2 linked regions of the Stegostoma tigrinum genome follow. The protein of the gene in region 1 binds, or shares a complex with, the protein of each later gene. Links are inferred from orthologs where the notes say so. Each region holds a gene or a part of one and is shown on either strand. Other genes may lie near its edges. The genes, in order: CCR4-NOT transcription complex subunit 6 and cnot11.

Region 1 (8,123 bases):
TTTTTAAGGATGAGACTGCAGTGTACTTGGGAGTACTTGGTAAAATAGGATTGACTCAGCACAGCTTTGTCAAGGAGAGGTCGTGTCTAATGAATCTGTTAGAATTCTTTGAGAAGGTAATGAACAAGTTAGACAAAGGACAGCAAGTGGACATAATCTATTTGGATTTCCAGAAGGTCTTGACAAGGTGCTGCACAGGAGGCTGCTAAATAACAGCCCATGGTGTTGTGGGCAAGGAACTGGCATGGTTAGAAGATTGGCTAACTGGCAGAAGGTCAGAATTGGGGATAAAGGCTCTTTCACAGGATGTCAGCAAGGTGACTAGCGGAGTTCCACAGGGGTCCATGTTGGGACCACAATCACTTGTGTTATATTTTCACGATCTGGATGAAACTGCGCATTTGCTGCCATATTTTCAGATGACACAAAGATAGGTGGACAGAGAGGTAGGTTGTAGAAGGACTTGAACAGACTGAGAGAGTGGGCAAAGAAGTGGGGGATAGAATACAATATGGGAAAGCATGAGGTTGCACACTTTGATAAGAATAATAGAAGCGTAGACTATTTTCCAAATGGGTGAAGACTTCAGAAATCTGAAGCACAAAGAGACCTAGGAGTGCTCGTACAGGACTCTTTTAAGGTTAACCCGCTGATTCAGTTGGCAATTAGGAAAACCAAGATGACAGCAGTGTAGCAGCACAGCGTAAGGATTCCTGCCCAAAGCTCATCTGCTCCACTTGCTTTTACTATTTTTTCCACTTCCACAGGTTTCTTTCCTTACTTTGATCAAACTTATCTTCTGTGGAGAGCAAGTTTGTGCAGCATGGAGGGAAGCAAGCCTAGTGCATGGGAAATTGAGCCATAGCGGGGACAGCAAGCCCGACAAGGCGGTGAGAGAAGTCCTTTAACATTTGTGGTGACCCTGAATGCAGGGATTCCAGGTCGCCTGGCATCTGCGGTGGCAGTGAGCATGGGGAAGATCGAACTTAACTTCTGGAGGGAGCTCAGTCAAGGCAGTGGTGGCAATGGAATTGTCGCTTTGCTGGGCCTGGAGCATGGCAGTGGCTGGGATATCGGAGCAGGGACTTTAGCAGTCAGTGTCTTCGTAGCTCATGAGGTTTGGAACATAGCAGCAGCTGGAAGCCTAGATGAGGGTTTTGACGGTTGGAAATTGAGCCTGAAGCAGGAAAATGAGTCCAATGCAGCAATAAGAGATGTCCCCTGGCATCTGCAGTAGTGGCGAGAGGAGGCAGCCCAAGATCTCCCGGAGAGATGGCCAAAGTGGAGGAGATTGAGCCCTTGTATGGAGTGCGAGCTCAGCATGGCTAAGCACTTAAGATTGTTGAACTTTTAGCTATTTCTTTACTTTTCTTTACTTTTTACTTTACAGTTTTCAGACCCGTAGCTCGGGATGGATCTGCTGGCATTGGGAGGAGGTCCACAAGATGATCCCAGGAATGAAAAGCTTGTCATGTGCAAAGTGGTTGAGGACTCTGAGGAATGAAGAAGGATCTCATTAAATACTGAGAAGCCTGGATAGAGTGGATGTGGAGATTATTCCACTAGTAGCAGGGAACAGGATCTGAGGGTCCAGCACCAGAGTGAAGGGACAACCCTTTAGAATAGATATGAGGAGAAGTTTCATCAGCCAGTGGGTGAATCTGTGGAACTCTTTACCACAGAAAGCGGTGGAGTTCAAATCATTGAATGGCTTACAGAGAGAGATGGATAGATTCTTGATGCACAAGGGGGTCAAGGATTAGGGGAGAAGGCAGGTGGATGGGCTTCAGAATCATTTCAACCATGATTGAACGGTGGAGCAAACTCAATGTTCGAATGGCCTAATTCTGCTCTTACATCTTATGGTCACTTCTGACCTAATGTTGATGGGACGGTCATTGATACAAGAAGCTGAAGGTGTTTGGGCCTAAAACAATAACAAATTATGGCTGTTGTAATGCAGTGGTAGTGTTTCTATCTCTGAGACAGAAGGCAAGTTCAAGTCGCACCTGCTCCAGAGATGTGTAGTAACAGCTCTGAACAGACTGGTTAGAACAGACTGATCTGTGATTTATTTGATTGACCTTTAACAATGACATCTTAGTTTGTGTTTGATATGTCTCCAACCAATGGAGTTCCGCCCATTGATTCCCATTGACATTAGTTTTCCTAAAGGCCCTTGATTCCAGGCATGGTCAAATGCTGTTTTGATACTAACAGCAAATACTTTCACCTTACACCTTCTTTTTATAAGTTCTGTACAAGATCAGACTAAAGCTGTATTGAGTTTGGGTTCTAGCAGGGACACTCAACCCCTGGCCTGAGTGGAAAACTTCCCCAAATAGCAGTGGAGGCTAGGTAATTGAATAGATTCAAATCTCAGTTACACAGTTTGTTTATTATCAAAGGAGGTAAAAGTTAAGGATGGTGGTGGGGATCAGGCTGAAAAATTGAGTTAAGACCAAATTAGATCAGCCATGATGACCCCAAACAGTGGATAGTTTTCTCCTGATTCCACTGATGCCAGTTTTGCTCAGTATGTCAGAAACTTTACTGCAGAATAATTTGCAAGTGAGCAAAACATTTTCCAGGACACAATGAAGATTGGCCACAGATTTCACAAACTTGTGGGCAACTTTGCTCAAGGCAGTCTAATGGAGTGGGAATTCAGTAATATTGTTGACCTGAAGTGTTAGTGGTTTCTCTCTCAATCGGTTTCACTTGACCAGTTGAGCATTTTCAGTAAATTCTCTATGATTTTAAAAGCGGTGAGAATAGGATTTACATTCTAAAAGGATGTCCCTGGGAAGTGAGAGATAATAGGAACTGCAGATGCTGGAGAATCCGAGATAACAAGGTGTAGAGCTGGATGAACACTGCAGGCCAAGCAGCATCATAGGATCAGGAAGGCTGACGTTTCAGGCCTAGACCCTTCATCAGAAATGGGGGAGGGGAAGAGGGTTCTGAAATAAATAGGGAGAGAGGGGGAGGCAGATATAAGATGGGTAGAGGAGAAGATAGATGAAATGGAGACGAGACAAGTCAAAGATGGAGCCAGTAAAAGTGAGTGTAAGTGGGGAGGTAAGGAGGAGATAGGTCAATCCAGGGAGGACGGACAGGTCAAGGGAGCAGGATGAAGTTAGTAGGTAGGAAATGGTGCTGTGGCTTGAGGTGGGAGGAGGGGATAAGTGAGAGGAAGAACAGTTCAGGGAGGCGGGGATGAGCTGGGCTGGTTTTGGGATGCAGTAGTGGGAGGGGAGATTTTGAAGCTTGTGAAATCCACATTGATACCATTGGGCTGCAGGGTTCCCAAACATCATCCTCCCTAACCCTATCGCATCCTCCGACACCTCTGCCATCTGCAATCTGACCCAGCCACCAAAGATATTTTCCCCTCCCCACCCTTGGCTGCTTTCCGGAGGGACCACTCTCTCTGTGACTCCCCTGTCTGCTCCACACTCCCCTCCAGCCCCACCACACCTGGCACTTTTCCCTGAAACTGCAGGAAGTGCTACACCTGCCCTACACCTCCCCCCTCACCCCCATCTAGGCCCCAAGAAGACTTTCCACATCAAGGAGATGCACATCTGCTAATGTGGTACACTGCATCCGCTGTACCCATTGTGGCCTCCTCTTTATGGGGAAACCAAGCTTGGGGACTGCTTTGCAGAACAACTACACTTGGTTCGCAATAAACAACTGCACCTCCCAGTTGTGAACCATTTCAACTCCCCCTCCTATTCCTCAGACAACATGTCCATCCTGGGCCTCTTGCAGTGCCACAACGATGCCACCCAATGGTTGCAGGAACAGCAACTCATATTCCACTTGGGAACCCTGAAGCCCAATGGTATCAATCTCCACTCCCCCTACCACATCCCAAAACCAGCCCAGCTTGTCCCCGCCTCCCTAACCTGTTCTTCCTCTCACCTATCTCCTCCTCCCACCTCAAGCCACACACCCATTTCCTACCTAGTAACCTCATCCCGCCCCCTTGACCTGTCCGTCCTCCCTGGACTGATCTATCTCCTCCCTAACTTCCCACTTACACCCACCTTTACTGGCTCCATCGCTGCCTCTTTGACCTGTCTGTCTCCTCTCCACCTATCTTGTCCTCTATCCATCTTCTGTCTGCCTAGCCCTCCCTATTTATCTCAGAACCCCTTCCCCTCCTCCATTTCTGAAGAAGGGTCTAGGCCCAAAACGTCAACCTTCCTGATCTGATGATGCTGCGTTCATCCAGCTCTACACCTTGTTGTCCCTGGGAAGTGAGAGTTGAGGTGCAACAGGAGTCCACAAATGACATAGATAGGATGGTGCTGGAGTAGTGATCACAGTCAATGGTGAAGTTAGAAAATGATAAACTTGATGAAAGAGGCAGCAGGATTTCTCGCACAGGTTGTAAGGAGGGCAAGGTGTTAATTGAGTGGGGCAGCATGTAACAAATAAGAAAAGCTGGGACTTATTAAGAATAAACAAAGCAGCGTGTAAAGTGAAAGATGGAAAGGGTAAACATGGGATTAGGAAGGTGGTGGATGCTTGGCTGAAGTTCAGGTATTAGTAAAATTGAAAACCTATTGAAGGGAAACGACTGAACCGTCAATATCATTCCACGTCCAGTTAGCTGGTGGGGATCTAGCGCAATGCCTGGAAGTGCGACCTAATTCGAGTTACAAGATGTTAAATTAGCTCTAACAAGTTACAAGCAATAAAAACGGATCAAATATTCCTTTAAAGTCGGCACTCATTGATAGTTTTAAGCGGAGTGAAAATTACATGTTAACCCTCATCCGTTGTTGAACTTCCATTGGGCTAGTAACTTGCCATGCGGCTCCTAATTGCTTCCTTTGACGAAACTCAAGAAACAAGGTAAACGACAAACCTACGCTCGATATAATTAAGCCAATCAAATTTACGGGTATTTCCCCACCCCGCCCAAGACGGCGCTTTCAAAACAAATAAGTTCCACACAAGGAGGGGGAGAAGCAGAGGTAGTTTGTAAAATTTAAGAACATGACCTGCCGAGTGCGTATAGCTATCCAGCGGACATGCACGCCTTAATATGGACAAATCGATTTTGCTCGGTCAAAAGAGATGATTAGGGCCTTCGGCCGTCCTCACCGTTGCAGTCTCTGTAGTTTGAACGGGAATCGGCGCGCAGCGGGACATTCCGGCCAGAAGGCTCGCGCTGTCCTCAACAGCCGCAACACGCACCCCTTCCGGCGCGAGCCGCTCGTTCCGACTCTGTTTGTTTTGCTTCACGCGAGGCCGAGTGGTACGGTCCACGCTGTAGCCAATCAGCGAGCCGCAAAGGAGGGGAAAACTCTCCGGGAAATAATGGAAAGCGGGCGCCATGATGATTGTTTGCTTTTAGAACGGGTTCGCTGGGTTTGTAGGCGAAGGGAAGAAAGGTCTAGAACTTTTGTTATGTGTTCGCAGGTATAAAAATGTTTTCTCACTTCAAACCTCACGGTTTAAGGTTTCACTTTACCTGAGCAAAGCAGGGAATTAAAGGTATTTATTTGTAACGTTCTGAACCTTGCGAGGTTTTTTAGTATTTAAATTTAGAACTTCCAGCTCAAGTTTTTTTAAAAAAAGACTTAGCTAATTTGTTTGACTTTGTCGGCTTCGTTCGTTTTATTTGAGTCACCTCTTTGCCCTAAAAGTCATTTGAGTCTCGGTTGAACGGAAAACTAAGTCGCTTCTTTTATGTAGTCAATGCGAGGCCTACACGTTAGTAGTAGGGGGAGCTTTTATTTGAACGACGGAGCGACCTAGCTTTGTGGCGGAAGTGTGCGTGTGTGGTTTGATTGACAACTGAACGCGCCACTCAAACACAAACCGTTCACCAATGTGGCGCACGGCGGGTTTTTATCGACCAATGGATGCAGTGTAGGGGCGGGACATCCGTGATGAAGGTAGGTTGATTTTTAGAACGTAGTTCTTTGCGCCCCAGTATGATAATGGTAAATACTAGTGATGTGTGATTTGGGGGCGCTTAATTAGTGTACAAATTACTACAGGGTACACGCACTCATTTTGTATACTATAACGTTTCACCAGTTCGGTTGGTAAGTGAATATAGGTACAGCATCTGGAAAACAAAGTATTGAACTACTACTTCCCCTAAATGTACTAGTTTTGAAATCACAATTCAGGTATATCCACTTCACCGCCACTTTTTTGCCGTTACCTATTTTCGGGTGGCCTGAACAATCGCTGAAGTTTTTGAAACTACGTGTTTAGATCATAGACATGAACTTGGAATAAAATTCGTTGCTAAAGTGGATGACGAGGACAAAACACTATTATGCTTTTAATTGCAATTCTAGCGATAACGTCGATTGCAAAAACCCCAGTAACTTTTCCACGTGATGCTGCTGCGATTGAATGTCCTTTTTAAGGCACCCTGTAGAGTTGGGGGTGGGGGTGCGGTGAGAAAGAAACAGGTGAAAACAACTTCGGCATTAAGGATATAGGAAGTATTTTCCCTGAAGAAATGTAAAATGTAGGGACTGCTCTTCCGTCACTACTTATTTTCTAATTCTTCTGTGTTGCCTTAGCATTTAGGTAAAATGCTTTCAAGTTATAACTGGAATCATAGGATTTAACAGCAAGTTGGCTGTACAGACATGGCGCTTGTGCCAGCTCTCATATTCCAAATCCCTCTTGTATATGCACCCTTAAACACTTTTTGCTATGTCTTTCTGACGGCCTTCATTGTGCCTAATGATTAGGAATTTCTTGCCATCGGTTTGTCTGATCTGACTGCTTGCGTCCTGTATTTTAAGAATCTTCATTCTTTTAGTTAATGTTCATCTACTTTTATTAAGACTGGTTTTACGTACCTAATTCCACAGTCCTGTTCAACTTTGAACAGAAAGCTGATGGTTGAAAATACAGTGCAGCAATTGCTTGGGGGGGAAAAAAATCCAACTGCATATGTATAGGAAATAAGTGTTAGGTTTGACTAAATCCTTTTTTGAATACAAATATTGTGCATTTTTCATGTGGGTATCACCAGTAAGGCCAACATTTGTCACCCATCTCTGCATGTTGGTGGCATGAAGGTGCTTTTGACCATCTGCTGAAATGACTATTGCCAGTACACACAACTTTTCGTAGGAAAGGAGTTCCAGGACTTAGTTCCATGCTTGTGAAGGAGCTGTGATTGTGGTCGTAAGTCAGATGTCTGTTTGACTTAGAGGAACTTCCAGCCGGCAGCATTCCCATGCACCCATTGCCCTTGCCCTTGCCCTTCCAGGTGTTAGGGGTAGTGGATTGGGAAGGTACTGTTGGAGGCTTGAGTTGCTGTTGCCTATTCTCTACAACATGATGCTGTCACTTTACATTTGTTGTGAAGAGGTCTTGCTTAAATGGACAATTGTTTTAAATATAACTTCTCAATGCTGTTGAGCATCATGAATGGTGCTATCCATTCAGGCAATCGAGAGTTCTGTCAACATCCTGTCTGGTGCCTTTACAGATGGTAGACAAACTTGAATTCCCAGCCTTGGATTTCCTCTTGTAGCCATAATTTTAAGATTGGTTGTCCACTTCAGTTTCTGGACACAGATCACCACTAGGAGGATGTTAGTGAGGATTCAGCAATAGTGATACCATTCATAGACAAGACATAGTCATTGTTTGATACTTGAGTAGAGTGAATGTTAGTTGCTGCTTAAACACAAACCTGAATGTTGTTCAGATTGTGCTACATATTTACACAGATGTATTCAGTGTTGAATGAGTTTGAAATGGTGAGTATTGGACTCACCAATCATGTCCAGTTCTAACCTTCTAATGGAAGCATCGAAGTTGCTGCAGTTAATTAGGCCTGGAGGAACTCTTACAGCAGCTTACTGGAACTGAGATGATTGACATCCAGCATGCCTTACCATCTTGCTTTTGTGCAAGATGTGACTCGAACTAGTAGACACTTTCCCATCAATTCAGTGATATTAACTTTTTACTTTTGGCCAGGGTGCCTCGAGTTTGTTTTTAAACTATCCTATAATTTTCTGTTCCAGAATAATTTCCATTTTGTTTCATGGCTAAATCTGCTTTCATATTGTCAATATCTTTCTTCCAATGGCTGTAGCTTAGGAATAACGTCTAAGACA
Region 2 (7,079 bases), on another chromosome or scaffold:
AAGGGCAAGGACTGATTAGGGATTGTCAACATGGCTTTGTGCACAGGAAATTATGTCTCACTGACTTGATTGAGTTTATCGGACCAGTAATAAAGAGGCTTAATAAAGGCAAAGGACATGATCTGTATGAACTTCAGTAAGGGGTTCAATATGATTCTGCATGGTAGATTGGTCACATGGAATACAGGGAGAAGTAGCCATTTGGATACAGAACTGGCTCAAAGGCGAGAGACAGAGGGTAGTGACAGAGGATTGCTTTCAGGCTGGAGGCCTATGACTATCGGTGTGCCATAAGGATCAATGCTGGATTCACTGTTTTTTGTCATTTATATATATGATTTGGTGTGAATATAGGAAATATAGTTACTAAGTTTGCAGATGACACCAAAATTGGCTGTGTAGTCGACAGTGAAACGTTTACCTCAGAGTACAATGGGACCTTGATCAGATGGGCCAATGGGCTGAGGAGTGGCGGATGGCATTTAATTTAGATAAACGTAAGGTGCTGCATTATGGAAAAGTAAACGGTAAGGTCCTGGGCAGTGTTGCTAAACAAAGAGACCTTGGAGTGCAGCTACATAATTCCTTGAAAATGGAGTTCTAAGTAGACAGGTTAGTGAAGGTATTTGGTACGCTTGTCATTAGTGGCCTGTACATTGAGTATAGGAGTGATAATGGGAACTGCAGATGCTGGAGAATCCAAGATAATAAAATGTGAGGCTGGATGAACACAGCAGGCCCAACAGCATCTCAGGAGCACAAAAGCTGACGTTTCGGGCCTAGACCCTTCATCAGAGAGGGGGTTGGGGTGAGGGTTCTGGAATAAATAGGGAGAGAGGGGGAGGCGGACCGAAGATGGAGAGAAAAGAAGATAGGTGGAGAGGAGCGTATAGGTGGGGAGGTAGGGAGGGGATAGGTCAGTCCAGGGAAGACGGACAGGTCAAGGAGGTGGGATGAGGTTAGTAGGTAGGAGATGGAGGTGCGGCTTGGGGTGGGAGGAAGGGATGGGTGAGAGGAAGAACAGGTTAGGGAGGCAGAGACAGGTTGGACTGGTTTTGGGATGCAGTGGGTGGAGGGGAAGAGCTGGGCTGGTTTTGGGATGCGGTGGGGGAAGGGGAGATTTTGAAGCTGGTGAAGTCCACGTTGATACCATTGGGCTGCAGAGTTCCCAAGTGGAATATGAGTTGCTGTTCCTGCAACCTTCGGGTGGCATCATTGGGGCACTGCAGGAGGCCCATGATGGACATGTCATCCAAAGAATGGGAGGGAGAGTGGAAATGGTTTGCGACTGGGAGGTGCAGTTGTTTATTGCGAACCGAGCGGAGGTGTTCTGCAAAGCGGTCCCCAAGCCTCCGCTTGGTTTCCCCAATGTAGAGGAAGCCACACCGGGTACAGTGGATGCAGTATACCACATTGGCAGATGTGCAGGTGAACCTCTGCTTAATATGGAAAGTCATCTTGGGGCCTGGGATAGGGGTGAGGGAGGAGGTGTGGGGGCAAGTGTAGCATTTCCTGCGGTTGCAGGGGAAGGTGCCGGGTGTGGTGGGTTTGGAGGGCAGTGTGGAGCAAACAAGGGAGTGAGTGGTCTCTCCAGAAAGCAGACAGGGGTGGGGATGGAAAAATGTCTTGGGTGGTGGAGTCATATTGTAGATGGCGGAAGTGTCGGAGGATGATGCGTTGTATCCGGAGGTTGGTGGGGTGGTGTGTGAGAACGAGGGGGATCCTCTTTGGGCGGTTGTGGTGGGGGCGGGGTGTGAGGGATGTGTTGTGGGAAATGCGGGAGACACGGTCAAGGGCGTTCTCGACCACTATGGGGGGAAAGTTGCGGTCCTTGAAGAACTTGGACATCTGGGATGTGCGGGAGTGGAATGCCTCATCGTGGGAGCAGATGCGGCAGAGGCGGTGGAATTGAGAATAGGGGATGGAATTTTTGCAGGAGGGTGGGTGGGAGGAGGTGTATTCCACTCCCGCACATCCCAGATGTCCAAGTTCTTCAAGGACCGCAACTTTCCCCCCACAGTGTTTGAGAACGCCCTTGACCGTGTCTCCCGCATTTCCCGCAACACATCCCTCGCACCCCGCCCCCACCACAACCGCCCAAAGAGGATCCCCCTCGTTCTCACACACCACCCCACCAACCTCCGGATACAACGCATCATCCTCCGACACTTCCGCCATCTACAATCTGACCCCACCACCCAAGACATTTTTCCATCCCCACCCCTGTCTGCTTTCCGGAGAGACCACTGTGTCCGTGACTCCCTTGTTCGCTCCACACTGCCCTCCAAACCCACCACACCTGGCACCTTCCCCTGCAACCGCAGGAAATGCTACACTTGCCCCCACACCTCCATCCCAGGCCCCAAGATGACTTTCCACATTAAGCAGAGGTTCACCTGCACATCTGCCAATGTGGTATACTGCATCCACTGTACCCGGTGTGGCTTCCACTACATTGGGGAAACCAAGCGGAGGCTTGGGGACCGCTTTGCAGAACATCTCCGCTCGGTTCGCAATAAACAACCGCACCTCCCAGTCGCAAACCATTTCCACTCCCCCTCCCATTCTCTAGATGACATGTCCATCATGGGCCTCCTGCAGTGCCACAATGATGCCACCCGAAGGTTGCAGGAACAGCAACTCATATTCCGCTTGGGAATCCTGCAGCCCAATGGTATCAATGTGGACTTCACCAGCTTCAAAATCTCCCCTTCCCCCACCGCATCCCAAAACCAGCCCTGTTCGTCCCCTCCCCCCACTGCACCACACAACCAGCCCAGCTCTTCCCCTCCACACACTGCATCCCAAAACCAGTCCAACCTGTCTCTGCCTCCCTAACCTGTTTTTCCTCTCACCCATCCCTTCCTCCCACCCCAAGACGCACTTCCATCTCCTACCTACTAACCTCATCCCACCTCCTTGACCTATCCATCTTCCCTGGACTGACCTATCCCCTCCCTACCCTCCACCTATACCCTCCTCTCCACCTATCTTCTTTTCTCTCCATCTTCGTCCGCCTCCCCCCTCTCCCTATTTATTCCAGAACCCTCACCACAACCCCCAGTCTGATGAAGGGTCTAGGTCCGAAACGTCAGCTTTTGTGCTCCTGAGATGCTGCTGGGCCTGCTGTGTTCATCCAGCCTCACATTTTATTACATTGAGTATAGGAGTTGGGAGATCATATTGCGACTATGCAGGACATTGATTAGGCCACTTCTGGAATGCTGCGTTCAATTCTGGTCTCCTTGCTATAGGAAGGTTGTCGTGAAACTTGAAAAGGTTCAGAAAAGATTACACAAGGATGTTACCAGGATTGGAGGATTTGAGCTGTTGGGAGAGGCTGAATAGGCTGGGGCTATTTTCCTTGGGGTGTGAAAGGCTGCAAGGTGCCTCAGAGGCTTATGAAATCATGACGGGCATCGCTAGGGCGATCAGTGTTTTCCCCAGAGTCGGGGAGTCCAAAACAAGAGGGCACAGGTTTATAATGAGAGGGGAAAGATTTAAAAGGGACCTAATGGGCAACTTTTTCACACAGAGGGTGCTGCATGTATGGAATGGAGTTGCCAGAGGAAGTGGTGGAGTCAAGTACAATTACCACATTTAAAAGGCATCTAGCTGGATATATGTACAGTAAAGGTTTAGAGAGATATGGGCCAAATGGGACTAGATTAATTTAGGATAGCTGTTCTGCATAGATGTGTTGGTCAGAAGGGTCTGTTTCTCTGCTTGTACAACTCTATGACTCTAATCCAGTCTCTCTCCACATTTCCACGCAGGGCAACTAGGGATGGGCAATAAATACTGCCTAGCCAGTGTCACTTTCCTCCCATGAATGAATAAAGAATAAAGGAAACACATTCCCGAAGACAATCTCTTTCCATTTTGCGGCTGAAACTTAACCCCGGCCCTTAAGGCCAGGTTTTGCGACAGTGCTGTGAAACGGGGGCGCCAAATTTTTTGTTTGGTTTTGCGGCAGTTTTCGGCGGCCTGCGGCAGGGCTGTCGCGCAGTGTGGCTCGGGGTGTAGCTCCGCTCGGAGGGAAGAGGGAGGTGCGCTGTGGTGTTTTTTTTTGTTTGTTTCTCCCCACGCAAGGGGACGTTTCTGGTGGTGGAGCCGGCCTCCGGGCTCACGGGCCCCCGGGGCACCATGACTCTGGCTCCCAAGGAGCTGAGCAGCCTGATCGGCATCATCTGTGAGGAAGCGACCAGTAACACCTTCGAGGGCCTGTCCACCGCCTTCCACCACTACTTCGCCAAGCACGACCACTTCCGAGTCGGCTCCACGCTCGTCATGTTGCTGCAACAAGCCGACTTGCTGCCGAGCCCCCAGCAACGGCTCACCGCCCTCTACCTGCTGTGGGAGATGTACCGTACTGAGCCGCTGGCCGCCAACCCCTTCGCCGCCGTCTTCGCCCACCTCCTTAACGCCGCCCCGGTTGCCGAGGAGCAGGAGAAGCAGCTGCTGGGTAAGCCTGGGCTGGGAGACGTTACCATTCCCCTTTCCCCAGTCGGTGACTCTCAGCCTCACGGTGGACCGAAAACATGAGTAGCCAGGATTTTTCTATCTTTCCATACCACGGAGCAACAGATTGGTGTGAATCTTGAAGCTGTTGGATATGAACACATTGTTAGAATTCCAGTCTCCACACAGCAATACTCAGTTTACCTTCAGAGTGAGTTCTGTAGGTGAAACGTTTCGAAGGCTTTGCGGGATTAGAATTAGAAGGGGTAAATTTAGAACGGAAATGAGGAGACATTTCTTCAGCCAGATAGTGGGCTTGTGGAATTCATTGCCATGGAGTGCAGTGGAGGCCGGGACGTTAGATGCCTTCAAGGCAGAGATTGATAAATCCTTGATCTCACAAGGAATCAAGGGCTACGGGGAGAGCGCAGGGAAGTGGAGTTGAAATGCCCATCAGCCATGATTTAAATGGCGGAGTGGACTCGATGGGCCAAATGGCCTTACTTCTGTTCCTATGTCTTATGGATTGAATGGGGTGTTCTACTCATGCAGGTGGCCTTTAAAGTAACTTCTCTGGAGCAGATCACTACCTCAGTAAAATAAGATGAAAACGCACACCAGGGAATTTAGAGGCAGCTTGTTAGAACCTTTGCTCTTTTGAAGTCAGCTCAAATTCTGCTTCATCTGTTTCAGAGTTCAGTTTCAGTAGTTGAAAGGACGAGGAATGTGAGCTTTTTGTTTTAACATCCTCAAAATTTCCCATTGTGGTGGAACCAAATGATTGTTATGACAGTGGCCAGCTAACTGTTTTCATTTAAATTCTGCTTTATTACCGGGATAAAAATTGTAGAAAGCAGGTGAGCTTTAAAAATGTACAGATCCTGATCTTAACCTTAATGGTAGACCTATCACAGAAGTTAATTGATTAGCTTTGTGCATTCATTGGAGTCGTCAATTCAGTATGTGCTGGAATGTAAATAGCTGTCGAACATAAATGCTAACTCTTGTTTGGGTCCTCTTACTCATGTTACTTATATAAATCTAGTAGTAAACTATATAGAACATAGAACAGTACAGCACAGAACAGGCCCTTCAGCCCACAATGTTGTGCCGACCATTGATCCTCATGTATGCACCCTCAAATTTCTGTGACCATATGCATGTCCAGCAGACTCTTAAATGTCCCCAATGACCTTGCATCCACAACTGCTGCTGGTTAGTAGGTAGGAAATTGAGGCGTGCCCTGAGGTGGGAGGAGGGGATGGGCGAGCGGAAGAACAGGGAGGCAGGGACAAGCCGGACTGGCCCTGGGATGCACATGTTGGTTTTCATCCACACTAATGTCATTTGCCCAGAAAAAATTATGCATGCTTTCTAATACTGTGCCTAGTCTTCAACAGCAAGAATCAAGCTTCCCAAATATTGGCATGATGCCAGAAAAGATAACTTCAGGAGTGTGCTTTTTATTTGTCGCTACTGAAATAACTTCAGAGAGTCTGGTATCCCATCGCTAAGTCACTCTTTACTTACATGTGAAGAGTCTTTGTCACTGATCCAGCTCCATCAGAGCCAGCTCTCAGAATGAACAGGATGTCTGCCACTCCTGTTCTTATATGATGGGGACAAATGTATTAAATTGAAATTTGCATTCTTTGAAAAAAAGCAGATGGCTTTAGAAAAGCCTGGCAAAACAATAGAATGTGAGATGGATCTTATTATTAAGTTAGAGATAGTGGGAACTGCAGATGCTGGAGAATCTGAGATAGCAAGGTGTAGAGCTGGGTGAACACAGCAGGCCAAGCAGCATCAGAGGAGCAGGAAGGCTGATGTTTCGGGCCTAGACCCTTTTTCAGAAAAGAAGTGCTGTGCTCATCCAGCTCTACACCTTGCTACCCCTTATTATTAAGTTAACCTGCTTTACTCACCTAGCAACTTGTTCAAAAGCAGCAACATCCCAAGAGCAAGCTGCTTGTCTAATTTGCATTGCTTCAATGTTTGCCAAGATGGTAATGCTGCGCAGACCGAAACAACCGAGAAGAAAATTGAGTCACTAGAAGGTTCAAAATGGTACTTGGGACCAGATGAGTTGCATTCAAGCATATTGAAGGACATGAGAGTGGCTCTTGGAGGGCAATGGTCATAGTCTTTCAATCTTCTCCAGACTCAGGAACTGAAAAATTGCAGACATCATGTCCATGTGCAGTAAGGGTTGTAAGTGTGAGCCCAGCAATTATAGACCAGTCTTTTTAACTTCACAAAGGAAGTTTCTAGAAGCAGTTATTCAGGATAGAATTAGTTATCACGTGGTAAAATTTTGCTTGATTGAGAAAAGTTAGCATGAATTTTTAAAGGTGAGACTGTTTAACTAACTTGCTGGAGGTTTTGTTTTGGGGCAGTAACGCAGAGGGTCCATGCAGATAGTGCTTTGATGTGATGTACATGCTTTTCAAAAGGCATTAGATACAAAAAACTTGAGAAAAGTTATAGCTCATGGAATGAAAGGGACAGTAACAACATGGATACAAAATTGGCTGAGTGACAGGAAACAGAAAAATGGCCAATATTTTCCAGACTGGAGAAGCATTTATAATGCTGTTTTCTAGGAATTGGGATTGAGA

Evidence for each region.
Region 2: CCR4-NOT transcription complex subunit 6 (region 1) and cnot11 share a complex: the UniProt entries of both Homo sapiens proteins name them as parts of the CCR4-NOT complex. The link is inferred for Stegostoma tigrinum from reciprocal best matches to the Homo sapiens genes CNOT6 and CNOT11.

The regions. Positions count from the first base shown.
Region 1 is NC_081366.1:37,288,065-37,296,187, forward strand, and holds the start of CCR4-NOT transcription complex subunit 6, read left to right. Parts: upstream 1-5,003; 5' UTR 5,004-5,514; intron 5,515-5,524; exon of another isoform or gene 5,525-5,918; intron 5,919-8,123. UniProt on the Homo sapiens protein: Poly(A) nuclease with 3'-5' RNase activity.
Region 2 is NC_081359.1:60,459,033-60,466,111, forward strand, and holds the start of cnot11 (CCR4-NOT transcription complex subunit 11), read left to right. Parts: upstream 1-3,954; 5' UTR 3,955-4,146; coding exon 4,147-4,465; intron 4,466-7,079. UniProt on the Homo sapiens protein: Component of the CCR4-NOT complex which is one of the major cellular mRNA deadenylases and is linked to various cellular processes including bulk mRNA degradation, miRNA-mediated repression, translational repression during translational initiation and general transcription regulation.